Linked DNA regions of Oreochromis niloticus. The protein of the gene in region 4 purifies or fractionates together with the protein of the main gene of each other region. This does not show direct contact. Links are inferred from orthologs where the notes say so. Each region holds a gene or a part of one and is shown on either strand. Other genes may lie near its edges. The genes, in order: cherp, snrpa, phf5a and sf3a2.

Region 1 (7,101 bases), on a different chromosome or scaffold from region 4:
TACCGGTGTCCCCGCAAACTGGTGTCCAAACTCCCAAACCGTCTCAGCCCGACCATCTTTAGGTGGACCCTGTATTTCTTAACCAACTATCCCCAGACTGTCAGGATGGGCAAACGCGCATCCTCCATCCTCAATGTACCAAAGGGATGTGAGCTGAGCCCTGTTCTGTAAGACCTGTTCAACCATGACTGTCAACCTTCAAACACAACAAACACCATCATCAAGTTTGCGGACGACACACAGTCACTGGCCTGATCTCCATTAACAACAAGACTGCAGATAGAGAAAAAGTGTAGAGCCTAATCGCCTGGTGCCCCATCAACAAACTCATACTACACAGCAGCAAAGCCAAGGAGATTGTGGTGGATTTCAGACAGTCAAGAAGAACAGAACTTGATCCTATGTACATCAACTATACTCAAATGCTGCTACACACATACACACAGTCCACACATGATTGCTAGCCTTCCTATTACAACTTCTGTGTAATAGCACTACATTTGCTATACTGTGAAACTTGCACATACAACTTGTAAAGTCATTACTAAATTTTCATAATGTTCTTATCTTTGCACATACGTTTTATGACCTTGTACGTATTTTGTATTCTTTTATTCTATTTATTTTTTTATTCTTCATGTGTACTTTTAAATATTTGCCATTTTGCACATTTTTTTGAATATTTTGCATGTTCAGGGGTTGCCAAAATGTTGTTATTTTGTTGTCCTACACAACAATAACAAAAACACCAAACTTGAATCAGTTCTAACAGACATACCTGTGGTATCAGTTTCAAAATCCTATGTCATCTTGTTCTCAAGTTATGGCATTCATTTTTACTAGATGCACCTGTGGTATCAATTTGAAAATCCTAGGTGACTTCCCTCTTGCGGTATCGCATTCACAAGATTTTCAGAAGATTTGACCTCTGACCTTAACAGGGTGACAAGAAACCCCATCAGCCTTTTACGGCTGAGTGATAAAAGGAATGTTAGCAGCACCTGTACAACAGAGGCACTAGACTCAGACAGCTCAAACTGGGAGGTAAAATACACGTATTTCTTCCCATTTGCAATTCAAAATTACTCGCCAACTAGCAAGGACCCTTTATGGCCATGTGGCGAGTGGGGGACATAGATTGTGAAGTGGGGTGGACACAGGATTGGTGCCACACAAGTATACCACCTCAACCTCCTAAAAGCATGGAGAGTGACAGAATTTTGAAACTCGTTGTATGTGCGTAAATAAAGAGAGAAACACCGAACAAAGAAACTGTATGCAAGGTACATATAGAGGGGTTCCTGTAGTGGCAAACTTGCTACAATGCCCACTTAGCTATTTACATTATAATTCACTGATGTCTCCTTGAAGACTGCCGGAAAAACTGTATGTGTAGACAGCGCACTGTAAGATACTACAAAACAGTGCTTCATCTGCTAATCCTCCTACCCAAATGTCGGATATGAAAATGATTCTTTGGACACCACCAACGTGTCTTTGATTATTGAAGAGATTCTAAATTTAAAGATTTGTATTTTCAAATTTAGCTGCAACAGTTCCTTCCACAGATTTGCCCGGTTGCTATTAAGCCAGACCAAAGTGTCATTTGGACACCTTTTATCCTGTAGTGAGATTCCAAGTCCACTGTCTTTAGTGCATTTACTGACTGATATCCTTGTTCTGCTTTTGGGGAGATTTTCTGTGAGCTAGAGAACTGACTCTGCAGCTGACGAAGGCTGCGAGCAGAAGGACTACTGCTGCCAGGTGATGATATAAAGGCAGTCTGAAAGCCTTTAATCAAAAGGAAAAAAATCCATGCCAAAAACAGATTCACATTACCAATACAATGCTGGACTGTTCAATTAACAGTTTCACCCCAAAACAGAAAAGTAAATAATTCTGCCAACATATCTGGTGCATGTACTGGGTTGGGGGTTTTTTTCCGCTTTTATCTGTAAAAACTGTTTTTTATTACATTTTTTTTAGTTTGAATATTTCTATTATAGTAAGAAATCCAAAGTACTGAACATCAAATGAACTTAATATTCCAATACTAAATTGACCTCTATGTGAAAATTCTGTTTTTATTGTGATGTGTCAGTTTAACTACATACGTTGCTGTTGTTCCATAGCAAGTTTGTACTTGTAGTAGCTGAAGTATTCGCCCCCAAAAAGGAAGGAGAACTTATGGTTGTCCTTCTGTTTTTCCATCGTCATCTTCTCAAACTCTGGGCCATTTCGGGCAACAAACTGGGCCAGCTTATCAATCACATTTCGAAGCTCCTGATCTGTACAAAAAAAACAGACATAAATACAGTGAAAAATGTTGTTGTAAAAACCACAGAACAGAGACACTGAAATAGACAGAAATAATAGTGACTGAAGTTCTTTTAAAAAAATCAAATAAAACAGATTTAGAAAATAATGAATTTCTTCTGAAACAGAAATATCTAGAAATGAGGTTGCGTAAGCATGAATTATTTCTATATTCCTACATAGTATTATTAAATCAGTTGGCTTTAATTTTACTCTTAATCGTGCTGCTGTAGCACAAAAATATCTATAAGGGATCTTCTTTCTATGGGGGTTCTTTTTCTTAAAAGCCAGCAGCCGTGAAAAGTTAGAACAACTAACGTTTACTCTCTATTACTGGATTATTTCTACACCATTTTTCACGTTAGTTGGTGCAATGATTACACACAGAGCCCGGTTAAACATTCATCCACTTCTGATCGGTGACCTTAATCAACATGCTAAATCCAATGGTTTTGTTAGCTATGTAGCAGATAGCATGGGTGCTCGCTTACGTTGAATCGAAATTTAAAATAGCTGTGGTGTACGGCTCACCTTCGGGAGGACTGGGGATATCCATGTTTAATTTCTGTTCCAGCGAACCACTTAGCCAGAATATGTATGTAAAAACTCCGCCAAATTCTTTACTTTTTCAGAAAAAGATATATCAAATTCCCCCAAAATCACTTGCATTGCCGCTGCTACGCACAGGAAATGCGATACAGAAACAGCGCCACAAAAGATGGCTATGGAATTGTCTCCAGCGCCCCTTGCGACTGGGAGGAGTGTTCGCGCCTTGCTCGTTTGGGTGGATTGATGGTTGCAGCGGCGAGTAAACGTCCAAAAATGAAAATATTTTTATTTAACTATAAGTAAAATATATATTAAAAAAATACAACATTTTAAAATATCTTTAGTCCTGATCTTTATTATATATGCTTACAAAATCCTATCCTAGAAAACATGGTTGAAACCCCGTAGTTTCTCTTCCTGGTCAATATAGGAGGCAAACCTTTTGGACAGATAGACCAAACAAGACACTTATCCAGCTGGATCCAGCACCCAGTCCAATGGGAATGCTGTGCTATCCAGTTGGTCATTTCAAATGACCCACTTGGCAGTGCAGAGCTATCTTTTTGTTTGTTTGTTGTATGATCAGCAAAAGACGGGGTTCAAAAGCATCAGTCAACAGTTTTTCCTAACCATCTAAGGTCCAATGCCCAAATGGCAGAAATTAAAAAAGGGAAAAGAAAAACAGAACACCAGAAAAAATGAACAAACAAAAGGGGTTTATAAAAGCAAGGCTCGATGGGTCAAAGGAGCAAGGATCTACATATACATATTTTGAGCTTAGCAACACAGTGTTTAGCACTATTGTGTCACAGCAAAAAGGTCCTGGGTTCACATCCACAATCTGGCTAGGGCCTTTCTGTGTGGAGTTTGAATATTCTCCTCTGGTTCTCCAGCTTCCCCCCACAGTCCAAAGACATGCAGTTAGTCAGATTACATTAATTGATGATTTTAAGAATTAAAATGGTATTTACCCAGAATAATAATTAGATTAACAGTATCAGAAATTTTGTTGTTCAACCCCAAAAGAAACAATAAGTAAGCATGGAAATGTTGACTATTTTCAGATAAAGTCAACTGTAAATGTCTGACCAAAATAAACTCACATGAGGAGAATTTAAAATAGAAATGATCACCAGTTTCACATTCAGAAGTACAAAAATTACATGAGTCAACCTCAATTTCAAATCGCTTTAATAAGAAATTTAGGAGTGGTATTCAAATGTTCCTTTCAACAACAGATCATTTTATTATTATGATATACTTTATACTTTATTAAAGTATTTCACCTCTCGTTTTACCGCGATGTAAAAATTTAAATCAAGATTGCAAATTGCTAAAATCTGACATATCAGAACATTTACAATCAGACCAGATGCTTTTGAGAAAAATTAATTTTGTTCCTTTAGAGATCACAAGTTCTTTTACAAAAAAAATGAAAAATACAACAACAAAGGCATTTTATCAGCAAACTGACTAATTATAAATTTACTCTATTTTATTTAAATTCCTTGACTATCAGGTGAAATTTTCAAGGAAAATAGCCCCCCAATAACCCCCACTAGAACACTGAGGTGAAGAAGCACTCTTTTTTACTTGAAGGACATCACCTCTCAGTCAGCACAGTAGTAATACACAGTACAACTGTCTGTAAATTGTGCTGCACTTGTATAGCATGAGTTTCTTTTTTATTTTATCTGTCCAACTAAAGAAAAAAGTTACACATAACATTATTTGATTTTTTTTCTATTGCTACCTCCATTCCAAATATTTTAAAGGTGTGTGGTTTATGTTCATAAATAGCCCTGTTTTTTTTGTTTTTTGAGCCACATTTCAGTCTACACTCCATACCAGTTGGTGGCGGCAAAACACAATTTCGTAGTTTTCCAACCACCTGCACAAATAACAAAAAGAAGAAGGACACAACAACTTCCTGCGACTGTCCGTGGATTGTGCTGTGGGGACCGTGACGGAGGTGTGTGAAATACTGTACATACTGAAGCTTGGTACGTTTAGACAACGTTTACACTGGGCGCCGTTGTGTGGTGGCGTTAGTGGATACCGTGTGATGTTGTTGTGAAAGAGTTCAGCCAATGATAGGCGATGGTTTATTTGTGGAAGCCGGTGTGCTCAGCGCGTGCTCCCGACGCAGGCGCAAGACACCGGAATGTAGTGAAGTGACAGCGGTGTTCACCAGGAAGGAGAGAAGCGTGAAAAAGATCAATAATACATCATGTAAAGTACAGAGCTAGCTGCAGGCCGTCGACAGAAACTACATCTAAATACTATACCCTCCGTAGCTGGTTTTAATATTGGCCTGGACTCCAGGTATTTAGTCAAAATCCTCATATGGCTCGGTTATAGTCTATATAAACCAGGGGTTGAGAAGGTAATTTATCCATTTAAATCAGCTGTGATGGATCAAGGACGCATCTAAAACCTGCAGGACACCGGCCCCCGTGGACTGGGATTGGGGACCCCTGATATAAACGTTTTGTTTTCACCTAGCAGTTATAGATTTTTAGTATAAATAAGATAAATTAAGACTTGAATATATATAATTTTCTCCACTAAACTATGAGTGAGGAAAAAAAAGCTTTCACGTTGCTCTAAGTTTACAGGTCCAAGATTCATAAGTGTCTTGCTCTCTTTCCAGCAGCATGGCTACTGTCGAGAAGATTGGATCAATAGGACAGGAGCTGGTGGACCCGAGACAGGACCTGACCAAGCGGTTCAGAGCTTTATTTACCCTGAGGAACCTGGGAGGTAAAACACCAGGACCACATAGTTTTATTTTTTATTTTCAAAAACTGGACAAATGACAAAAGCACTCAGCTAAGTAACAAAATAGCGGCAGTCCATGTGCCCAGTGCTCAAGATTTGCAGTAGTATGTAGGACTCCAACATTGGTTTGTAGGGGTGGGAATCACCCCACACATTCAGTTTCTTCTTCTTCTTTTTTTTTTTTTTCAAATGTAGTTGTGGTTGTTTCTGTCCTTTCAGCATATTTTAGTAGCCCCTATGTTTTCCAACAAAACTCACAGGAAAAAAAGTAATCTTTAAATCTCTAAACTTTGCAATAACGTCTTGCCCTCGCGCTTGCAGCCACCAGTCTTTTCCTCTTCGTATGGTTGGCTTAATCACAGAAAGCAGCACTGTACTGTCTGAAAGACAAGACATTCAGTTGTTTCTTTTTCTCTGAAAGATCTTTTTTTTAATGCAAACTGAAATCACAGCACAGCTGTTGCATATTGTTGCAATATATTTGGTGTGACTGAATGCCGGTAGTGACTTTTGGGTGAACTAATTCAAGCTGTCATCTGTGTGTGTCAGGTGCTGAAGCTATAGAATGGATCAGCAAAGCCTTCGCTGATGAATCAGCCCTGCTGAAGCATGAGTTGGCTTACTGCCTGGGACAGATGCAGGACAAACGGGCCATTCCTACTTTGACTGCTGTTCTCAAAGATAAACAGCAGGAGCCAATGGTTAGGCATGAAGCAGGTAAGCGTGCTTGATGGGGATGAGGAGTCGGTGTACTACCAAACACAAGTATTTTGACACAGTATGTTTTATGTAAGCTCTGTGCTCTGCACAGATGGTGCGTGTCCAGGTGTTCATTTGTTGCTGCACTAAATACAGAAGTTCCCAATTAATCTGCTTTTTGTATTTTTACAACACACATGCAATACAGACACACGTGCACTGTGTAAAATACCTAGAGTAGTAGAAAATGAACTACTCCCTTGTCATCAATTTTTTTTCTTAACGGTCATTTAGGTAAGGTGGTATAATTAAACAATTAAATAATTTAGTTGCTCCTCCACAAATCTTACCTTTGCTAAGTACTTTGTGACAAAAAGCAGTATAAGCAGCTGCTTGTCAAATGAGTCTGAAGCTTTGCCATTTTGGGCTGGTTACAAAGTCTTTTTTTTTTTTTGCACTGCAGCCTTGTGGAGATGGAGTAGTGACATGTAGACCAGTTTCATGTACTGCAGGTTCTGGTTTGAGGGATGCAATCCTCTCCCTAGCTCGCTCTGGTCTCTAGAGCACCACAAGGACCATTGATGCAGACAGTGGAGCTGGAATTCAATCCACTGGAGTACCAATCACGGCATCTGTATGATAGCATGGACTGCCAAAACAACAAAAACCAAAATGAGTAGCCAAATATACTGCCCCCACATTAAGATGCTTTAGTGGTCTTTGTAAGGAGCACTAGGTGCCTTGCGAAAAGGCTAC
Region 2 (7,685 bases), on a different chromosome or scaffold from region 4:
GTCCCATAAAGTCTCCATGCTTTGTAATAATCAGACTCCAAAGAACTAAATTTTCTGCAGATGTGGTCTAACTTCAGACTGCAGCACATGGCATTAGCATCCTGAAAGAAAAGGGTTTTCTCAACGCTGGTTTCTCCTTCTACATGTTGTGCAGCTGAAGTTGTTTAAAGATGAGATCCTTTTGACTACAGGGACTCTGTCTTTGAGAGCAAATGTTTAACACAAGAGAAGAGAAAGCGTCACCTATTGGCAGAAAGCTCAAACTGCAGCTTAAATGAAGAGCAGCACATTCTTAGAACACAATTTTATTTATAAAAAGAAAGAAAAGCTCCAGGTACAATGTCTGGTAAACCAGACTCTGGGTGCAATGCTTTATGACAAATGTAGAAAACATATCAAGCTGCTTGTGGATTTGGATGTAAAGCTAAAAAACAAAAACAAAAAAACCAAACAAAAAAAAACTTCTACATATGTGAGTTTACTATCAATAGGATACAAAACTCACATATGTTTGTCCTTTATTTTTAAAGAGTTCTGTCAATGTGGCACGATAAAAAAAAACAGCAGCTTGACACATACTTACGTGCAACCCTGAAAGTCAATTTCTAAGAATGCATCACAGTCAGATTTACTGCAAGTTTAAAAAACAAAGACCTGTTTATATGTTGGGGAAAAAAAGACCACCGTTCCTGAGAGCTTATTTCTTAGCGAATGAAATCTTCATTGCATTCGTCTGCGTGATCTTGAAGCCTTGTAGTGCGTCTCGTGCAGCTCCGGCCTGCACCTCGTTCTCAAACTCCACAAATGCGATGTCGTGGCGTCCAGGGACCAAACGCACCTCCTTGAATCCTGGGAACCTAAAACACACACACCAACAGTTAGGCTCAGCCTTTAACAGACAAGCCTGCAAAACTAGATCTAGAGAATGGGTTGCTACTGACTGGTTGAAGAGCATGGACAGCATGAGCTCGTTTGTCTCCTCTGGCAGGTTGGTGAGGAAGAGGATGTGATTGGGGGGATTTTCTGCAACCTACGAGTACACATTGGACATCAGAATCAATCAACCAGAAAAATATCAATTTATTAAATTCAATGAAGACACAACATGCTCTGTCACAAAACACTACCTGCTGGGGCATTTGTCCAGGCATCTGTCCAGGCATCATCTGACCAGGAGGAATGGCACCAGGGGGCATCTGGCCAGGCGCCATCCCTGGAGGTGGCATCATGCCTGGAGGGGGCATGTAAGGTGGCTGGCCAGGCATGTGCATCATACGGGGAGCCTGGCTCATTGGAGGCATTCCCTAAAGAGTGAAGAGCTTGTTAAACTCAATGTCCATTTTCCTCTTCTGAGGTTATCTTTCATTGTGTGTGCTACTATTTACATTTGTCAGTTTTCAATCACACAAACTGTTCTAGATGCAGGAGAAACTTTCTCCCTTTGTTTTTGTTTCCTTATTTATTAATATTGTTCTTAAAGGGTTAATCCCAATTCAGTTTAATGTTTTTTGCTCTGCAAATTGAGCTGAAAACATGTTTCAGCCATAAGATAAGAACAACTTTATTGATAACAAAGGGAAATTCATACGTTTGACATAGCTCATCTGCCATTTGTAGAGAATGATTTTCTGTATCTATATATCGAAGTCTGCTGTATGCAATGTAGAAAGCAATAGACCCAGGACAGTCCCCTGTGGAGCCCCCATGTTGCTCATTAATGTCTCAGAAACACACCTGACAAACTGTGGCCTTTCTTTTAGGGTATTCTGTGATCCAGGAAACAGTAAGAATCTACTATAAAACATCTAAGCTATAGAACAAAATAAACAAGAATTTTCCAACATATTAAAGTTAGAAATCTCAGGGTTTGTATACTTTGTGTCTCTGCCCACACTTTGGCTCAGAGCTCCCTTGTGAATACATGACAGTTGCCAAAATAACCAATAACACAGCTCTGGTTCCACTTACAGGCATGGCAGCAGGCACGCCAGCGACCATGGCTGCACCAGCTCCTGCTACACCCTTCTTTGGTCCAGTGGCATCAGGTCCTTTGATCTTCTTCTTCTCTTTTTTGCGGTCACGCTCCACGTAAGTCCCCTTCATTTTAGCTATGATGTCAGAGTCAGTCTTTGCATACTGTATGCGCTGCAGGACCAAACAGAAAGACCACGTGTGACACACAAACTATGCTAAGCAGCAGCTGTGTGATATTCAGTGTTTAGTTACCCTACCATTGGTTTATCATAGAAGGGGAAGCCCTGCATTGATCTCAGCGCATTGGAGGCGCTGTTAATCTCTTTGAAGATAACAAAGGCCTGACCCTTCATCTTAATGTTTCGTGCCACCAGGATATCCAAAATCTGTCCGAACTGTGAGAAGATGGCGTACAGCGACTTTTTCAGCTCTACAGTAAATTAAAAAATAAACAAACAAATAAATAAATAAAAGGATTAGTCTGGTTGTGCATATTTAAACGGAAAGCGATTTCAACGTGCAAACCTCACCATCTTTCTTGATCTTCTCATTCAGGTTGTTGATGTAGATAGTATGATTGAGCCGGACCTCTGGAGTGGCCATCCTTTAATCTGCTGATGAGCGTTTGATGAACGTTTCTACTTTTAGAGACAGTCTGAGGCGCAGTTTAGATTACATGCTAAGCAGCTAACTAGCTAGCGATCGTTAGCAAACACTCACCAAACGTGACGGGGAGGGTTAGCCTGCAAGCTATCTACTACAAATTAGCACAATGTTTGGTGTTTTACATGTATATACTAGTCACCCAAATACTTAAGATCGTCACAAAGAGCTCAAATGCATTATTTAAGCACATGAAAGCGCTGAAGAAGTGTTTCTACGTAAGAAAATAAACGATTCAAGTCTTTAGCTCGACGTTCTTACCTGATGAATGAAAACCCCGGTCTTCACAAATCCCGTTTTCTGTTCTCGCGATAACAATGCAAGCGTAACTTCCGATGTTTAACATCCGTGTCCCAATTTATTATTATTTTTCCCTGTTGTAGCTGTTTCCAATCATTGTGGCAACATAATATTTTGTGTCACAGTTTTGGATAAAAATATAACATAGGGGCAGACATTCTGATACAATTCTTCTCAGAGTTCAGATTATGGTGTAACTCATATTTTTGTCCGGGTTAGCTTAGCGCCAGCAGTTTTTTTTTTTTTTAATTCTTATAATTTATCTTTAGCTTCATATTTAACTAGCAGTTAGAGTCATATGTATTAATTTTGCAGTCGGTATTGAGATAATTTAGATGCACTGGAGGGCGGTATGTTTCTACGTTCCTGAGGTGTGACTACACAAAGAAGAAGAAGAAGACGCAGCGCGAGAGTAGTACTGCCAAATTTGGGGACAAGCCGGGTGTTGTTAGCTGGCTTTGCTAGTTAGACAAGTGGGTGTGGGGTAAGTGTGCGAAAGACCAGAAACGAAGTGCTTTTATATAATTTCTGCACACCAGTTTGCACTAAAATAGTTTCCAACATCGAATAACGTTCGTCATTTGGTCCTGTATGTTGACAGGTTTAGTTATTAGCTTATTATAAGAAGAAGTGGAAGTTGGGCAGGTAGTTGCAGGTTCTGTAATTACACTGTTTATATTGGCTTGCTGTAGCTTGCCCCTGATTTCTACTTTCTCAGTCTACAATTCCTCAGGATAGGAGAAGATGTCAGTGGAATGCTCCCTGCCACCTCCACCGCCTCCACCTGCTCCACGTACACCACCTCAAACGTCAGCACCAAAGAAGAAGCTGTATCAGACTATAGCCAGCAGTAGGAGTGCTGTAGAGGGAGATCACACAGAGGCTTGCTTGCTGATCAGTCAGAGGGAGACCAGGTCAGGTTTTATCATGGATGTTTTCGCTTTGTGTGGAAAATTGCTAAATCTGCACATGAATTTTATTTTTAAGTGCTCACATGCTTGGCAGACATTTGTCACACACAGTCATGCTCAAGTTGATCAAGCAGATCCCTTGTGCAGTTCAAATGTTTCATTTGCCAACACAACCATAGAGGTTATTGATTGAAAATCCATGTGCAGCATAATCAGCCATGACTGTGATAACTGATCTAATGTTTTTAGGGACAAACAACACAACCACGCGGTTTAACTAATCAAAGACACAGGAACTAAAAACCAAACATAAGAGGGAAGGATTCACCAAGTGAGTAATGTAACAGAGGGACACCTAACACAGAGACAACAACTTAACTACAAGATACAAGAAGACACTTGGGGAGGCTAGGCTAAACAAAGAGTTACCTATTAATAACCAATATAAACCAGAATTAAAGTAACAAGCTTAAAAAATAAGAACCTTAAGGAATAACAGTGAAAAGAAATCTAAAGTCCAGAAAACCTAAAACATAACAAAACCCACGGATCAGGACACATCTCCGAATGTACAGTTATATAATCCAGAACCAGTGAGCAGTGAGATAAAGTATTGACAGAGCAATATATGCATCTATTTTCTGCCACTTATGTGGGTGGTGGGGGAAGCAGACCTCCATCTCATCTTCCTCCGTCTCTCCTGAGGGGACACTGGGTTTGCTCAGGAACATCTCAGAGATATAATCTCTTCAGTGTGTCCTGGGCCGGCCCAAAACACCTCTCCTGTAGTGTCCTGGAGGCATTCTGGTCAGATGTCTGAACGGATGAACTTATGAGTCGATAAGTATCCCACAGTCAGAATCAGGATACTTTATTAATCACACAGGTAATTATGTGATCACAGCTGCTCCAAGACAGTAAGAACAGTAACTAGCTAAACTAAATGAAATAATGCTACAAAGTTACAAAATATAACAAATAACTCTAATATACACAAATGGCTCTAATTATGAATTACAGTAAAGTAAAGAGAGACCTTAACTAGCTTGCAGTGAAGAACATGAATCTCACAGGGAGAATGAAGGACAGCAGTAAAGTGAGAGATTTGTTAATTTAATTAAAATGTTTAAAAATAGTACACACACAGACACCACAATGGACTGTATACAAAGAGTGTGTTTCTCTGATGGTTATGTTGTTTTGTATTGAGTACTACTACAACTTTGCTACAAAGTTGCATTATCCTATTGTATTGTGATATTATTATATTGTATTTTAACCCCAAGAACAGAGAGTTGCCTGAAGATATCTCTGACACGGAGTCAATAAAACTGAATGTCCAGTTTAGGGCAAAAGTCCTGAGCCAAGAGTGAGACCTTTTTGTCATTTTTTAAAAAGTGGTCTTAAACAATACTTCTTCAGACTTTCTGAAGGTCTTTGAAAAGTTTTTCTTTGGACACTGGCTGCTTTTTCCACTCATTCTCAGTCCAGTCCTCCCATTTGACTTTTATTCAGAGGAATAATCTTTTTTGTGCAACTTAATACTGACCTATGAATCATGGCATAAAAAGGGAACCTAACTCAAACCGTTGTCAGTGTGAGTCACATTACAGACAAATTGGAAAAGTACTTACTTTAAATTGTATCTATGGGCACTTTGTTACTACCAGCCTGTTATATAAACACATAATTTGTTCCCATTTCTTTAGTTGAATCTATGAAAAAGTGTCAGACAATACAGTTTGGCAGACATAAAATAGTATTTTTGCTTGGTGTGTAGTGTGCTCTTAAATATTTGAGAGAACTGCAAAATAGAGGACAAAAGAAGTGAAAGGCCTAAAAACTTTAGCAGATGAAAAATATCTGAAAGCAATGTCCTTGTAAAAAAAGGAAAAAATCCAGTAAAGACTGGAACCAGTATCAGATGGATCTGGCCTTTCACTTTATCCATCTACTGTTCACTGAAGCCTCATCAGAAATGGTCTCACTGAAAGGGTGGCTTTCAAAAAGCTGTCCTTAAGGAAGGAAAACAAGCAGCTGACGTATACCGAATTACATGAGATTGAATTATAAATGCAGAGAAGTACCATCACATTTTGATCCACCGTCAGTCCCATCTGGAAAGCATCTGATTGGCATCAGATTCCTTTTCAGCATGACAATGATTCCAAACGCACTGTCAGTGGAATAAAGGTGACCCTGATCCAGCACTAACTATGTGCTGCAATAGGTGTAGGCTGCTGGGGGATTCCCATGATGCACTAAGTACTTCTTTAGTCACCTTTCTCACTCACTATGTGTTAATAGACCTCACTGCATTGAATCATTACTTATTAATTATCTCTGGCTCTATTCCACGGCATGTCTTTTGTCCTGTCTTCCTCCCCTCACCCCAACCAGTCGCGGCAGATGGCGGCTCTTTCCTGAGCCTGGTTCTGCTGGAGGTTTCTTCCTGTTAAAAGGGACTTTTTCCTTCCCACTGTTGCCAAAATGCCTGCTCATAGGGGGTCGTATGATTGTTGGGTTTTACTCTGTATGTATTATTGTAGGGTCTACCTTACAATATAAAGCACCTTGACGTGACTGTTGTTGTGATTTGGCGATGTATAAATAAAACTGAATTCAATTGAATTGAATGAAAAGCAGCCAGGGTGGCTCAAGACTTTTGCACAGTACTGTATATGATAGTTCTGTGAAAGAAGCTTTTTATAATGCTGGCATTTCACTCCTCAAAGTATCCTGAAACTGTGGCAGCCAATATAGTTATCAGCCAGTTGATTAACATGTGAGTATAAAAAAAATCAGAAAGCAGGGAGTAGAAACAGTTGGGGATAGCAAACACTCACATGCTGTAAACTGCTACAGTTTTGATGCAGATAATAGGACACAGCCCATGGCACTGATGCTTAGAATTGATTCATGGCTGAGAAAAAAACTTTTTCTTTTGTACAAATTTCTGCATTTGTGTAAGTGCATCAGATAAACGGTTAACAAACTCCATGCCTTCATGTTATGCAGTGCCATTTGTTTGTTCTTCAGTTTCAGGAAGGACCTTCAGTGGATTCTGGTGAACACTTACGTGCCTTCACTCATTCAAGATGGTCCACAGTAAGTCATTAAAGTGAAGCGTCACTGTAATACCTGTCACTCAACACCTCAATCTATTTTTGGCTAAGAAGTATGTTGCATAGCACGCCTGTTTCCACAACAATTTTTAACTGCTATAGTATTTTATTGTTTTTAGTACTGAGTTATTTGGTTTACCTGAATCCTTTCACGTGAGTGGGTGACGTATTTGTTCAGTGTGTTATTTCTGGTAACCTTGTAGGTGTGGTCTGGTGGCTTTGTGGATGGCTGCTCACCTACGGCAGCCACAGCTGAGTGTTGACATGGAGACGGTGGTTCAGACAGCTCTGAGCAGGGGATACACGGCTCAGGGTGAAATGTTCTCGGGTATAAAATAAAAATGTTTAAACTCTTCAGGTCTTTTTGTAATTGGGGGCAAAAAAATAGCACAAAAGAAACAGGTGGGGGCTGTGATTAAACATTTGGACCTTTTATGACACATTTTGCAGCTGATATTTAATTTAATGTTCCACAAGCACGTAAACATTCAGTTTCAAGCTGGTGAATTTTGGTTTCTTTATGTTCTCATTAATCTTTTTTATTTTGTCAGCTGACAATATGGCCCTGCTGGCAGAAGAGGTGTGTGGCTGCAAGGCCGAGCTCCTTTCGGGGGGTCTGAGTGGTAATAATGCTGCAGCCATCATCTCACACCTGTGGGGGAGACAGCCTGTTCTCATCCCGTATCCTGGACCAAACCATGGGGAAAGGGTT
Region 3 (6,896 bases), on a different chromosome or scaffold from region 4:
GGTTAAAGGGGGTTTCTTTTACTCGCCACCCATCTGTACCTTTTTAAATCATTACTAAAAACAGATCCTGACATTTTTTACACTGAAAATGTTATTTCATTTTGGCTCTTGCCCCTGTGTTCAGCAGTCCACAGAAAGTGGGAGTATTTATACCATTAATGGTAACAGCTCAGGTCTTTGTGTATAAAAAGCATCATGCATTGCCAGCTGGAAGAAGAAGCTAAGAGAAGAGAAGAGAACGAAGACACTGAGATTTAGCAAACACTGCCACTGACTCACTGCTGATGTTAAGAGGGAAAACGTCCTGAGCAGATTTTGTTAAGAGGAAAAACCTCAACAAGTAACAAGACAGACTTCACATCAAAATGGAATCAAAAGCTCAGAGTTGTTTAGTGAGCTTTAATTTAAAAAAAATCCTTTCCAGTGACACCTCTTCATTTCCCCATTTTTATGACGTGTTCACTGATTATTTAAAAATCTTGAACACCAACAAAGCAGTCATAGAAAAAAAGTATAAAATTGAGTTTTATTGACAAATCAAACAAAGGTTTTTTTGTGAGTTTTAAAGAAAATCTGAAAGACTAAACGTTGCACTGGGTCGTCGTGGTCGTGTTCACCTCTTCTTGAAGCCGTACTTCTTTCGTTCATAGAACAGATCTGTTTTGGAGCTGCCCAGGTTTACAATCTTAGGACATCCATCTCGCTGGAGAGAGAGAAAGAAATTTTTTATCTTAAAGAACAAGTCTCTTGGATATTTTGCTGCTTCAGTATCCAGTGTCAAAGTGAAGAGAGGAGCGGGAAACTCACATCTTTCTCCTGGATGGTGCATTCTTTGCAGTAGTAGGCGTCAGACACACCAGGCCCTCCACATATGACGCAGCGCCCCTGATAGGAGCCGTAGTTACACTCATCGCAAATACGCACCAGTGTGCACGGTCTCACGTAGGAATCACAGATGACACACTTTCCATCACCTGGACAGAGAAGAGAGGAAGAAGAAAGGTTTAAACTTATACTGGAGGAATTTGAGTTTAGAGTTGTTTGTGTATTTTGTTTTCTTTTGGACTAAATAGACAATAACAATAACAATTTACAGATATAGTGACTATGTTGACTGTAGAGTGTACAAATAAAACAACAGCAATAAAATTAATGATTAAAACTAGAGATTAACATCTATACTCTGGCTTATTTTCAAAAGCAGGGATTTAAAAGTCTGTAGTTTTAGAGATTTGAAAGAAACACAGGGTAAGTAAATATTACTGGTGTAATAAATTAAAAACACACACAGATTAAATCCTGATTGTTATGAACGTGGTTATAAAAATAAAATTAGCTGATTAAACTTGTAGTTAAATAAATGAAACAAAAATATGACATAAACAGACCTTAACACTAGTTTAAAACACATGCCGCTTGTTGTTCCAGATATTACTCACAGATAAAAACACTTACATTTCTCACAGAGTCTCCCGATAGCTGCGGGATAGAAACAAAACAAAGTGAGTCAATGTGACAGGAATTCACACAAAAAACAAACCCCACTTTCTTCTAGTTACGATACCCTTCTAGCCACCAGAGCCCACAGACCTGCAAACACTTCCAGGCTAACACATTTTCAATGAAATCCACGCCATGTTAGCATGGATGCTAACGCTATGACCTACGAAACAACAACAAGGGACTTCCGGCTGCAGCAAAATCCACTGTGCCGAATACTGAAACGTAAAATGAGTCCAAACTTACCAACACCAGCTTGTTTTCGACAGAAGATCAAATCTGGATGATGTTTAGCCATCTTAGGTTTACGTAAGTAAAGCGCTTCTCTTTCTTTTTCTTCTTCTTCTGCTGCTGCAGCTGGTTTTTCTTCTTCTTTGTCGTTTTTGGCGGTTGGCAAACAACGATGTGGTACATTACCGCCACCAACTGTCCACAAGTGTGGACCGGAATTCGCTCATATCAAATAATCGGAAAATAAATACAATAAATAAATACTACAGGATATATATATGTCCTCATATCCTTTCACACAAATGAGTTTGTTTTAGAAACTGAAATAAAGCCATAAAACTTTCACATCTAGAATTCCTTTGCAATAAATCCTTTATATCTAGCTTAATCCCCCCAGATTTTGAATCAGTTGTGTTCTTTCTTCCTGTAATTTTGATTTTGGTTTAATTTATTCCACGGCGATTACATTTCCCTGTTTGATGTTGCCCTATAATGAATAGCGTACTGTTTAATCCAGTGTGGCCAGATCTGAATCAAGATATTATTGTCTCCTCTCTCCTGGTCCTCCCTGTGCTTCTCATGTTTCTTGTTTTCCTTTGAATAGAATAAAACCATCTCCCTGTCCTCTCCTCCTCCCACAGCTTTTTGCCCTATTTCCCACATTATCTGTTTTATTGTGCTCTTCATTTCAGCGTTGCTAATACTGATATTTAAACTTGATCTCCTTTAGCAGCCTAATATTAATTTGATCTATTTGGATTTCTATTGTTTTCCAGGTTGCTGTCCATCCAAAGCTCTTTGACTCCTTTACCTCCTTCTGCCAACAAGGTTTAATTGTTTCCATTGTGGGGTGATCTTTTCATGGGAAAAAATTGAAGATATGACACACTGATGCAATGTGAAGTAGTCAGTGTACAGCTTGTATAACAGTGTAAATTTGCTGTCACCTCAAAATAACTCAACATACAGCCATTAACATCTGAACTGCTGGCAACAAAAGTGAGTACACACCTAGGTGAAAATGTCCAAACTGTCCCCAAAATATCAATATTTTGTGTGGCAACCATTATTTTCCAACACTGCCTTAAAGCGTTATGGCTTGCTAATCACCTGCATGTGCTCCAGAGCAGTGCATCTCGAGATGCTTGACGATTTCTCTCCAGATTCCTTCATCAACTCCTTACGTGCATTCATAGCCATCAGAGGTACAGTTCTCCGGATAAGATGCAATCAAGGCACAAACTATGTCGGCACAAGCAATGATTTACTGAAGAATTTAAAGAAATACATCAAGCAAAACTTTGAAAACTGGACCGCGAGTTTCTCATCAACACCCCAGCACGTAGTCATATGAGTGGTGTCTGGGAAAGACAAATTCGCATTCGCAAAGTGTACTCACATCAGTTCTTGAACAATGAGCCAAACAACTTGACAGCTCCTCTCTAAGGACATTCCTGTATGAAGTCATGGCAGTGATTAATAGCAGACCATTGGCTACTGACCAACTATGTCATACCTATGGTTGTCCCCACACCTAGGGACACCTTGCTGTCCTCTGCATACTGCTGCTATATGCCCATATCTCTGACCTTTGTAGCATCTAGAGAGGGAGGGATATATGGCCTATCTGTAAAACACATGCATCCTATTTTGACTTTTTCTGGAAGGGTAGGACCTTGAAACTTAAACATCACTGACAAGCTATCAACTCTTTCCCCATTGACTGTTCTTAATAGTCTTTTAACTCGACTCACTTCCAGACCTTGAATGCTCCGTTTTAGTTTTTCAGGATTCTCATCCACCGGAATCCCTGTTATGACCCTCTTGTTGTTTTATTCTCTCCTTCAGGCATCCTTTCTACTACATCTTTATACATATGTTCTCAATACGCATTATTATTTTTTTCCTCCTCCCTCTTACGTGCTATCAACAAGTTCCTGTCTCTTAGGATTCTTGCTTGTTGGACATCCCCTATCTTCTTTTTCAGTTCCCTCGATACTGCACTTGGACTTAACTGCATGTTCTCATCCTCCTTCCTAAACTTCAGTATTATTTTGAATTCCTCTCTTACTATCGTCTTCCGAACTACAGCACTCCCTTCATCTGAACTTCTGCTATCGCCCGTTTCTAATTTGGCATTCCAACCAAATTTTCATCCTCTCCCCACTTACTACCTCGTCCTCGTCCTTTCCTACCTACCTTATCATCCTCATCCTCTACCTGAGTTGACATTTCAGTCCTGTCACAAGCCAGCTTATGCCATCCGCTGTCCACCTTCTTGCCCAGCTGCTGAGCTCGGCAGCACCACCCGAGTCCTTGCTCCGGATCATAACATAGAAAATTGGGGGCAATTTGACCAGTTCAATTCAGTTATTCAAATAATCGCTAGCTGCAACAGTAAAGTGGTTTACATGTGAATGAATCAATAGGTATGAGTCCATGATCTAATATGCAGTCAGGGGAAAAAGAAAGTTCACCCTTACTGAAGCAGTCATGTGAATTCAGAAGGATGTTCTCTGTTTCGTCATCGTCAGGTTGTTTCTCAGTCGTTGTTTTTCCTGCTTTGTGCTTTTGTTTCAGTTACTGTTACTTCAGTTTACCACGGGCCCCGCTGTTCCCTGTGTGTTGTCAAGCCTCTGCCTGTGATGTTACCCGATTTTAGTTATTTCCTGTTTCATTTTGGCAACCTTTGTCTTGTGCGTTTGGTATTTCGTTTTACCTTCCCTGTCTTCTTTTCCTCATTAGATGCAGTTGTGTTTCCTGTTACCTGATGTGTTTATATTGTGTCAGTCTCCCCTTTGTCATGCCCTCCCTGGATGGTTGTGTTTTTCCTTATTTCACGTTTCCCTGAGATTTCTAGTTTTTGTTATTGTTTGCTCCTGATGAACTCCTTGTTTTTTGTCTTTCTGAAAGTTGAGCATTAAAGCTGTCCTTTGAGCTGATGTTCTGTCTCAAGTTGTGCGTTTGTGTCCACATCCTGCCTGGCACACAGACGAATTTTGACACTCAGACTATACGGGCTTCAGCTAGCATGTTAAAGTTTATGACAGTACAATTAGTGTCATGGTTGGCTGTGTGGCAGGCAGGCAGGCAGGAAAAAGGACCCAAAATGCAGGACTCTTGGAGACGGAACTTTAAACTCAAAGCGCAGCTTTATTGCTGGGAAAAACAAAACAAAACTTTGGACAGATGAACTAAGGACTGAAACACTGGAAGAGGAATTCTAAACAGGAGCATGAGCCAAAGAGCAGGTCCGGAGGCCGACCGCGCGGGAGGCAGTGGCGGCAGCGACAGAGCAGGTCCGGAGGCCGACTACGCGGGAGGCAGTGGCGGCGGCGGCGACAGAGCAGGTCCGGAGGCCGACCGCGCGGGAGGCAGTGGCGGCGGCGACAGAGCAGGTCCGGAGGCCAACCGCGGGGAAGGCTGCGGCGGCGACGAGGCAGGTCCAGAGGCCGACCGCGCGGGAGGCAGTGGCGGCGGCGACAGAGCAGGTCTGGAGGCCAACCGCGCGGGAGGCAATGGCGGCAGCGACAGAGCAGGAGGCAGTGGCAGCGGCGACAGAGCAGGTCCAGAGGCTGACCGCGCGGGACGCAGTGGCGGTAGCGACAGAGCAGGTCCGGAGGCCGACTGCGCGGGAGGCAGTGGCGGCGGCGGCGACAGAGCAGGTCTGGAGGCCGACCGCGCGGGAGGCAGTGGCGGCGGCGGCGACAGAGCAGGTCCGGAGGCCGACCGCGCGGGAGGCAGTGGCGGCGGCGGCGACAGAGCAGGAGGCAGTGGCGGCGGCGACAGAGCAGGTCCAGAGGCTGACCGCGCAGGACGCAGTGGCGGTGGCGACAGAGCAGGTCCGGAGGCCGACCGCGCGGGAGACAGTGGCGGCGGCGGCGACCTCGTTCAGGGGCCGCCCTTGACGGTGATGACGTCCAGCTAGAGGCCTGGAAAGTGGCTGGCAGAGGTGAGGTGATCCAGGGAGAGCTGGATCAGACGGTGGTGTAGCATCCGCAGGACCAGGCAAGGTCGGACCAGGCACGGCAGAGGCAGGACCAGGTGCGGCAGCATGGCAGCTGCGGAACCAGGCGCGGCAGCGTGGCAGCTGCGTAACCAGGTGGCAGCGTGGCAGCTGCGGAACCAGGCGGCAGCGTGGCAGCTGCGGAACCAGGCGTGGCAGCTGCGGAACCAGGCGGCAGCGTGGCAGCTGCGGAACCAGGCGTGGCAGCTGCGGAACCAGGCGGCAGCGTGGCAGCTGCGGAACCAGGCGGCAGCGTGGCAGCTGCGGGTGGTGGCGCTGCAGGTGATGGAGTGGAAGCCCCTGACGAAGGCACTGCAGGCAATGCAGGAGGTGGCAGATAGGATTCAGAGCCGTCAGCGGTCCTTAGCTGGCCGAATGAGCTCACTAGAGCTTCCAGCGTACTCATGTACACATTCAAAGTCCCAAATAAACATGTCCATCAAAACCTCATCAGGCAAGCTGCGATAATTTAATTCATTTTTAATTTGACTAACAAATGCTAAAATTAGGGCAATTTCATCAGTTTTCTTTTTATTTTAGTTTTCCAAGCTCACAAAATCCTTTCAGACAGTTTTACTTTTTCAGTTTTGGTTTGTATTTTAATTAATTAAAAATTTTCCCCACAAAAAAAGAAGCCCTGTGGGAGTGGTGTTGTTAAAAAAAATTAATAAAAAAATAATAATTGAAAAACTTTGGGAGGACATAAAGCAGACTATGAAGGAGCGTTTGTTTTTTTTTTCTCCACTAAGCGGCAGCACGCTTCATGTCACAGCTGCCGTTAAACCCCAAAGAAGAAGAAGAAGAAGAAGGCCGCCTTACAATTGTGTTACGTCATCACCGACCCTCACATCTTTGTCAGTGAACAAAATGGCAACTTACTGTCTCACGGTCGCTCGGCTCCAGGTAAGAGACAAATTGACTAATTTCATCGCATTTGTCCAGCCGAGGCGGATGCCACCCTCCGTATGAGATTTAATAAATCTGACTGAATGCTGTGCTGACCCAGATAAAGCACCGAGAGAGGCTAAAGTGGAGAGATAAGCTGAGACACTAGCACTGCTTAGTTGTCCAGGTCATCGTGTCCCGACTGCTCTGAACGCATCTAGCTAGTTTGACTCAGGCTTAATAAATCACGACTATAGTGACTCCGTTTACCGGG
Region 4 (7,132 bases):
CAGTTATTAGCTAATGTAAGGCCCTCTGGAGGGGGTGGCCTCATTGGCATGGGGGGCATGGGCATCTGTGGGGGCATCTGAGGGGCTCCTGGGCCACCAGGCGGGAGAGGAGGGACGGGCATTCCCCCTGGAGGCGGAGGGGGCAGAGACTCGTTTGATGGGTGATCTCCACTCATAAGGGGAGGAGGACGCTTCACAGTGGCAGCAGGTGCTGGACCGCTCGACTGGGTAACAGGTTTCTCCATTTTGAAGTGGAACTGTAGGAAAAACTGGATAGAAAAACAAAAAAAGAACAATTAAAGACATTTTTGGAAAACTAATATACAAGTTCCACTAGTTTAAACTTGTATATCACAGAAACTTTTTACAAGGATCTTTAAGATGAAGAAATAAACATATAGAACAAATATTAAGTTCACTTTATTGACTCACTGTTCCTATCAACTGCTATTTGTGCATAACAGCTTGAAAAAGTTAGAACTATAAACAAGTTCAAGAGACCATTTTACCTTCATTCACCCACGGGCTGACATTCACCCACATGTGTTTACTAATTAGATTAGGTTGCATGTAAATGAGGTAAACAATGATTCAGAGCTCTCTCTCACTCTGTGATACATTATTGTCTTCTCATACGGAAAGACGGGGAAAAATTCCCCAAGGTGCGCATCTTATCAGACAGAGTTTTTCTACACAAAAAAAGCAGCTAAATCTACACCTCTGCTTTTCTGTTTTTGACACACAGTGTGCCCACTTTGCTTCACCCCTCCCATTGGTTCTGGCAACTGGACCTAATAACTCTACTGGCAGGCACTCTGTAACATAGCTGGTACCTGTTTAGTTTCTTTGTTCCAGTGGGTCCAGAAGCGGTTTTCTGCTTTATCAATTTCTCTGCTGGGTACCTAAAACAGCAAACATCTTGTTATTACAGGAGTGAAGGAAAAATGACAAAGAAAAAAAACATAAGGGGAAGAGAAAAGTGCAGGTCTCACCTTGAAAGCAATGGTCTCATATGGTTCAGCAGCAAAAAGCAGGTACTGCCAGCGACGATCGGGAGGCTCAATGCGCTGTTCGTAAGCGGACATGAAGCGATGCCTGGGTCCAATTCCTTCAGCGATCTCTGGATAGTCAATCTGATGGGCCAAGAAAAGAAGGTCAGTAACACATGGCCTTTACTGTTGTGGTACGAAACTTTGCAGGTTAGAGCATGAGGTTATGATTTGTTCCTGTGACCCAGTTTCAGTGTAAAGCTCCTTTCGCCAACTGACTAACAAGATTGAGTTTGCCACATTTATGCAGAACTCACCAGATTATCCAAAGAATAAGTGTGCATTTTGCTTTGGTTTGAAGCACACAAATAATAACTTATTTACCCGGCTTCAAAAGGGTACTGGATTATATGCATTCTTTCAAAATATACAAACCTGGAAAAGTAAAGATTGCTGTCCCGTCTCTGGATCCCTCTGTTTGGTCACTGTGAATAATTAATAAAAATTAAAAAAAAAAGATTAATTTTTTTGACAATGTATTTTGTAGAGAAACTAGTATTAAAAACCAAACTGTGACTGCCATATAAAATGCCAGAGCTTGCCTACCTTTGTATCCTGGTCGACCAATTTTGACAAATTTCTTGACCTCAACTTTCACTTTGGCTGGAGCTGGTTGAGCAGGAGCTTCTTTTGCTTCTTTGGCTGCCCTCCGTGCTCTGAAAAATGTATGTAAACAGTTTCCAGCAACTTTAATTAAATCAGAACATAAAGTAACAGCTCTTGCACTTCTGTGTTGTAGCACAGATAACTTATGGACTTACAGATTGGTCTGGTGTTTCTTTCCTTGTGTGTGAGCCAAGTAGCTTCCCTGAAATACAGAGAGACATTTTTGATTTTTCTTTTCAAATAAGACACCCAGATGACAAGAAATAAAAACAAATTCAGTGAACAGAGAAATGTCTCATTAGGTGTCCCTCACCTCATTGTTGTGAAGTGTCAGACAAAGTTTGCACTCGTATGATCCTAAATGGTTCTTCATAAAGTAGGGGTCTTTGTTGATATCAATGGTCTCCAAGGCCAACTGACGTAACCGTTCTCGCCTGTCACGGTTACTCTCAGAGGCAGACGCCACCCCTCCGCTCCCCGTCTTCCCTCCAGCTCGATGCTGGAAATCCATTTTTGTAAGGTTTTGGAGTCAAACAGTCACACGAATGTGGACAGTTACTCCAAATAGATTCCCCTGATTACCTGGTTAAAAATAAAACAATAAGTACTGCCAGTGAAGGTCGACATTAATAACCCTGCACTCCAGGGCTGTAGCACAACAACAGCATCATGTGTAGATTGGCATTATTACTTGTGTTTTAGCTAAGGCTCTAACCTGGACACATTTTTATTGCTCAAACCTACATGGGTCATACAACCTGTTTTAAAAGCAGCTCGTCATTACAATCCCCTCTATACGAAGATTCCCAATGCTAACTTCCTTACAAAGAGTCAACATGAACACTGCGGAGTAAGGCCCAAACAGCGGATTTTAGAGGACCAAGTTAAGTTATCTGTGGCAATTTACCAGCGTACAAAAAAAATTCTTCCCATTATTACAAAAGAAATACATTCTGCGAATGATCCCAACAACATCTAGCTAGCTGTAGCATGTTAGCATACAAAAGCCGCTAAATGCGCTAGCAATTTTAATGCTAAGCTAATGGTGCTGCCAACTAATAATGAAAAGCTTTTAACAAATACAGATGATTAAAGTGAATATTAAAAATGCAAAATCACCACATCCGTTAGCCACAAAATTAAACATTTTAGGAGACTACAATCAGATTACTTTATCAAAACACTCACCAGCTCAACGACAGCGACACGCTCACCTGATTTGTTCTGCGCATGCGCTTCAGTAGATTCTTTTTCCCGGGTTTTGGTGGTTTGTAAAAAACCCTCTGGTGTGTTACTGCCACCTGCTGGGCTGGATCTCCAGCCAACACGACGGCTGGGCCTATGAGGGGGGACTTCTTGTTCTTAAATTTCTGATTGTTTCACAGCAGCAGACACAGGAGGTAAAAATTAATTAATTTAAAAAGATAAACTGCTCAGTGGTTCATTTAGAAATTCTGGCTTTTTTTCCTAATTCATTTTCAGTAGAAACACAATTCTAAAACATAAGTTTTATAGTTTTGCATTTAAAAACAATTATTTCATTGTAGTTGACAGTTTGTTAGTTTCGGTTTAGTTTTCAGGTAAGCTGTGGTGCTAAGGGGCCATTCTCCGCTGACCTCTAGTATTAGAAAGACATTACAAATACATTTGTAATACCAGCAGAGAATCAGAATCAGAATACTTTAATAATCCTTAACAAAATTATGTGGGTTTCAGTTGCTCCAAGCCAATAACAGTAACAGACTAAAGTAATGAAATAATACAATATATTACAAAGTTTACAAATGTAAGAAATAGCACTAATATAGACACATGTTCAATTATAAATATCAAGAATATTACAGAGAACTGCTGCCCACTGGATTTCTTCTTTTTTTTTGGACGAATCTCTGTAAAACGCTATAGATCCTTGGGCAGGAAAATCCCCATAGACCATGCTAGGGCTCTTCGATATAACGATATATATCGGATGACGATATAAAAACGTCTATCGTTTAATTTTACGCTATCGTTTGTTTCATGGTGTCGCAAAATAAACTGTTTACGGCAATATTTTTTCATTATTTTGATGGTCACTGTAGTGGCTATATTTATTTCCTAAAGTTCTCTCTTTCTCTTATATTTAATATAACCACACTACAGACGGACAAGCGCTTGTTTTTATGCTTGTCGTTAGCAACAACGACGGTAAAACCACCTCGTGTCCGCTTGTTTATTTTCCACATAAACCTTTCACAATAAAGCTCAAGATCCTGTTGAGACTTTTCAAAATAAACTGAATCACGTGAAAGATGCAGAGTATTTACGGATGAGAAGCAAAAATGAGCCATCAGGTGCTAAAAAATAAACCTTAGACTCAAACGTTAGAACAGGCTTTTCCCCGCAGCACGCTGTGTAATAAATACTCACAAAGAAAACGGCGGCCATTACAACCTATGTCTAAAAATGTATCGTTTCATGCATCAGTTAAAACACTCGACTCCAGGTACCCGACGCCCAGCTGGAAACATTTCACGCAAGTCGAGCTGCTCGACATTCACAGAATTTACAGAAAATGTTACATTTTTGTGATTTATATCGTTATCGGACGATAGATGTCTTAATATCGGGATATGAGATTTTGGTCATATCGCACAGCCCTAGACCATGCCACATTCATAGTCTATTAAATCGCCTTTTCCCCCACTCTAATGCTCGGTTTCAACTTCTGCAGTTGATCTTGAACATGCCTACATGCTTACATGATTACATATTTACTTTAATGAACAAAGTGGCCTATGAGTGTACCTTAGTACGCTAGTTAGTGCAAACCAAACGGAAAATGTTTAGGTTAACCAGACTGAAGCTGGGGCCTCTGTTTCCGGATAAGAAACATCTAAATGCTGACTCTTGCACAGAACAAAGGAGCCATTTTTGACCTGCAGAGGGCAGTAACGCGCCTGACCAAGAAGAGGAAGAAGACAACCTCGGCAGAGAGGAGTGTCATTACTAGAGGTGTGTGAGTGTGGCATGAAGTCCAGAGCTGTTGTTTTCAGTTGACCCACAGAAATGATCAAACGCAGTCCGACAGGTTTCGGGGACGTTAGATAACGAAGCAGCGACGTGGACTCAGCGGTGTATACAATATAGTCCTTGCACCGTACTACCGTTAGCTAACTCCTGTGTTATGCTTTCGACTGGGGGTACGGGTCCTCTTTAGCATCCGTGTACCTGCGTGTGTCCGTCTGTCCAGCCTGTGAGTGTTTGTGTGTGTCCGCGATGCGTTTCAACGAGAAGGAGCTGGTGTTACTGAGCCGCCAGCCGTCGGAGAGAGCAGCTGAACTGGGGATGAGAGGTCCCAAGAAAGGAGATGGTAAGGACAGTCATTCAGACGCACTTCCGTTTCGTGTATTTGGGCACAGCAGCTAATGTCAGCATCAGATATTAGACATATCTCTCTCTGTATACTTCATGCGACAGCTGGGCTGCTTTGTGTTTGTTGTAGAGACGAGTTTGTCTGTCTAACTTCCCTTTTGTGGCCTTGCAGTTGTAAAGAAGAGGCTAGTGAAACTCGTCGTCAACTTCCTCTTTTATTTCCGGACTGATGAGGAAGAGGTCAGTATGCTTGTTGTCACAGCATTTTCTGTGATAAATTGAATACATTTGTTTCAAAAGGGGGGTCAAAATTAACTGAGTGTTTATTTGGCAGCCAATTGGAGCTTTGCTGCTGGAGCAGTGTAGGGTGGAAAGGGAGGACAGCCAGACTTTCTCTATTGGTAAGCTACAGCATCCTTTAGAGGTACAGTTAGGAGTGACTAAGTCTGTAAGTGACCGATTTGTTTTTGGTAGTTTTGCCTCTGTACACAACCCCAGTGGTTTTTATATCAAACAATGAACATGCCTTTGAAGCGCAGACTCCCAGCTTTTATTCAGGGGCTATAACAACAATGTCACGTTACCTGTTTAGGAGTTACAGCCATTTTTATAAAACAGTCTTTATTGCAGCCGCCTTCAGTTACTAGTTTTGTGTTATTGGGTTGAGATCAGGTGACCAACTTCAGTTGAAGACGATTCCTTTCTTTGGCTTAAAAATCTCTTGAGTTGCTTTTGCTCATATTTCTGTCAGCAGACACAGAGTGCAACTCCCGCCGAAGAGCAAGGGCTGTACTAAAACTGTTATATTTTATGATGTCTTTATTACAACATGCTGACATCAACCTGTTAATGGCATCATTGTGACATCATTGGGTGTCGTATTGAGACAATTGAAAGTGTGTTGTACCGCTCTCTCCATGTGCTTTCATATGATATATTACTCAATATGATTTCTTTAAAATGGTTTTCAAGGTCAACTTTGACCTTGGGTGCTAGTAATGAAGATAAAGACAATCCATTAAAAAAATTGTGGATGATATAAAGTTTACAGCTTTTTTTTCATATTCTGTGTGACTTTAACATTGACACAATTTTCACTAAAATTAAATCAACTCGAGCTGTTATTGGTATCTACCATCACACCAAATGTGAAAATTATATCATGAAAACCGTGGACACTAAACTGCTAACAAGCAGACAGACAAATGGTACCGATTACATACTTCCTCCCTTTGGAGGAAAAATAAACACTAGTGATCCGGTTCCACTGGCAGCCATATAATGCCCATGTATGACAGATAATGTGTGATGCCTCCGATCATGAGCTGTGTCTTTCCTTCTCTGTACTTTTCTCCTTCCATCATCCTGGTACAAGTTCATCTTGGTTTGATCTGAGCAGACTCTTTTAGATGTTTTCTGACAAAGTCTAATCTGGCCTTCCTTTTCTTGAGTGTAACCAGTGGTTTGCACCTTGTTGTAAACTCTCTGCATTTCCATTCATGAAGGTGTCTCTTCATTCTAGACTTATGTTGATTTGCTACCTTCACAACAGTGTTCTTGGCTCGATGTTGTTGGATGTTTTGGCGTTGTTTTTCCTAACCATGCAAATAATTCTGCAGTCAAGCACTTTAGTTGTCTTCTGTGGCCTTTAAGGCCTTTTGATGTTGCTGAGCTGGCCAGTGCATTTCTTCTTTTTTTTAAGAATGAACCAGATTGCTCATTTGGCTGTTCCTACAGTTGTTGTTGTCTCTCATTTAGGTTTATTTTGGTTATTCGGCCTCCTGCGCCTTCATCAACATCATCTGGAATCAACTGCATACTTTTTATCTGCTTATCTTGTCATCGAACAAGGAAACAGGACACACCTGGTCATGAAACTGGCAGTCAGTTGTTTGACTGTGTAAGAAATGGCTGTAATACCTAAACAGTCAGTTCATCACTTTTGTTAAATACATTGAGTTAAAGCTAAAGTCTGCACTTCTGTCATATTGTAATAGTTTGATGTAGAATGAACCGTGGTGGTATATAGAAGCAAAACTACAAAAACATATTGACCTAACTGTATATTTCACTCTGACTTATTTTCACTTTCTCACCTGCGCTCTGCTGTTTCTGTTGGTTTC

Evidence for each region.
Region 1: the proteins of sf3a2 (region 4) and cherp purify together in Homo sapiens (affinity purification with mass spectrometry; 3 studies listed by BioGRID, with this or other methods). This does not show direct contact. The link is inferred for Oreochromis niloticus from reciprocal best matches to the Homo sapiens genes SF3A2 and CHERP.
Region 2: the proteins of sf3a2 (region 4) and snrpa fractionate together in Homo sapiens (co-fractionation; 3 studies listed by BioGRID and IntAct, with this or other methods). This does not show direct contact. The link is inferred for Oreochromis niloticus from reciprocal best matches to the Homo sapiens genes SF3A2 and SNRPA.
Region 3: the proteins of sf3a2 (region 4) and phf5a purify together in Homo sapiens (affinity purification with mass spectrometry; 5 studies listed by BioGRID and IntAct, with this or other methods). This does not show direct contact. The link is inferred for Oreochromis niloticus from reciprocal best matches to the Homo sapiens genes SF3A2 and PHF5A.

Annotation. Positions count from the first base shown.
Region 1 is NC_031981.2:23,794,657-23,801,757, forward strand, and holds the start of cherp (calcium homeostasis endoplasmic reticulum protein), read right to left. Parts: upstream 3,024-7,101; 5' UTR 2,873-3,023; coding exon 2,848-2,872; intron 2,289-2,847; coding exon 2,115-2,288; intron 1-2,114. Other genes in the region: dohh (deoxyhypusine hydroxylase), read left to right, coding at 5,523-5,628, 6,196-6,363. UniProt on the Homo sapiens protein: Involved in calcium homeostasis, growth and proliferation.
Region 2 is NC_031979.2:23,337,292-23,344,976, reverse strand, and holds snrpa (U1 small nuclear ribonucleoprotein A), read right to left. Parts: upstream 3,018-7,685; 5' UTR 2,899-3,017; intron 2,893-2,898; exon of another isoform or gene 2,695-2,892; intron 2,589-2,694; 5' UTR 2,578-2,588; coding exon 2,505-2,577; intron 2,405-2,504; coding exon 2,232-2,404; intron 2,146-2,231; coding exon 1,969-2,145; intron 1,305-1,968; coding exon 1,128-1,304; intron 1,031-1,127; coding exon 942-1,030; intron 858-941; coding exon 698-857; 3' UTR 290-697; downstream 1-289. Other genes in the region: actmap (actin maturation protease), read left to right, coding at 3,682-3,851, 6,888-6,956, 7,177-7,301, 7,525-7,654. UniProt on the Homo sapiens protein: Component of the spliceosomal U1 snRNP, which is essential for recognition of the pre-mRNA 5' splice-site and the subsequent assembly of the spliceosome. U1 snRNP is the first snRNP to interact with pre-mRNA.
Region 3 is NC_031973.2:22,533,162-22,540,057, forward strand, and holds phf5a (PHD finger-like domain-containing protein 5A), read right to left. Parts: upstream 1,904-6,896; 5' UTR 1,799-1,903; coding exon 1,747-1,798; intron 1,480-1,746; coding exon 1,456-1,479; intron 975-1,455; coding exon 808-974; intron 704-807; coding exon 614-703; 3' UTR 508-613; downstream 1-507. Other genes in the region: aco2 (aconitate hydratase, mitochondrial), read left to right, coding at 6,605-6,640.
Region 4 is NC_031982.2:13,069,707-13,076,838, forward strand, and holds the start of sf3a2 (splicing factor 3A subunit 2), read right to left. Parts: upstream 3,012-7,132; 5' UTR 2,870-3,011; exon of another isoform or gene 2,844-2,869; intron 2,238-2,843; 5' UTR 2,167-2,237; coding exon 1,969-2,166; intron 1,858-1,968; coding exon 1,811-1,857; intron 1,706-1,810; coding exon 1,596-1,705; intron 1,475-1,595; coding exon 1,425-1,474; intron 1,134-1,424; coding exon 993-1,133; intron 903-992; coding exon 834-902; intron 270-833; coding exon 1-269. Other genes in the region: plekhj1 (pleckstrin homology domain-containing family J member 1), read left to right, coding at 4,535-4,649, 4,855-5,007, 5,182-5,249, 5,344-5,410. UniProt on the Homo sapiens protein: Component of the 17S U2 SnRNP complex of the spliceosome, a large ribonucleoprotein complex that removes introns from transcribed pre-mRNAs.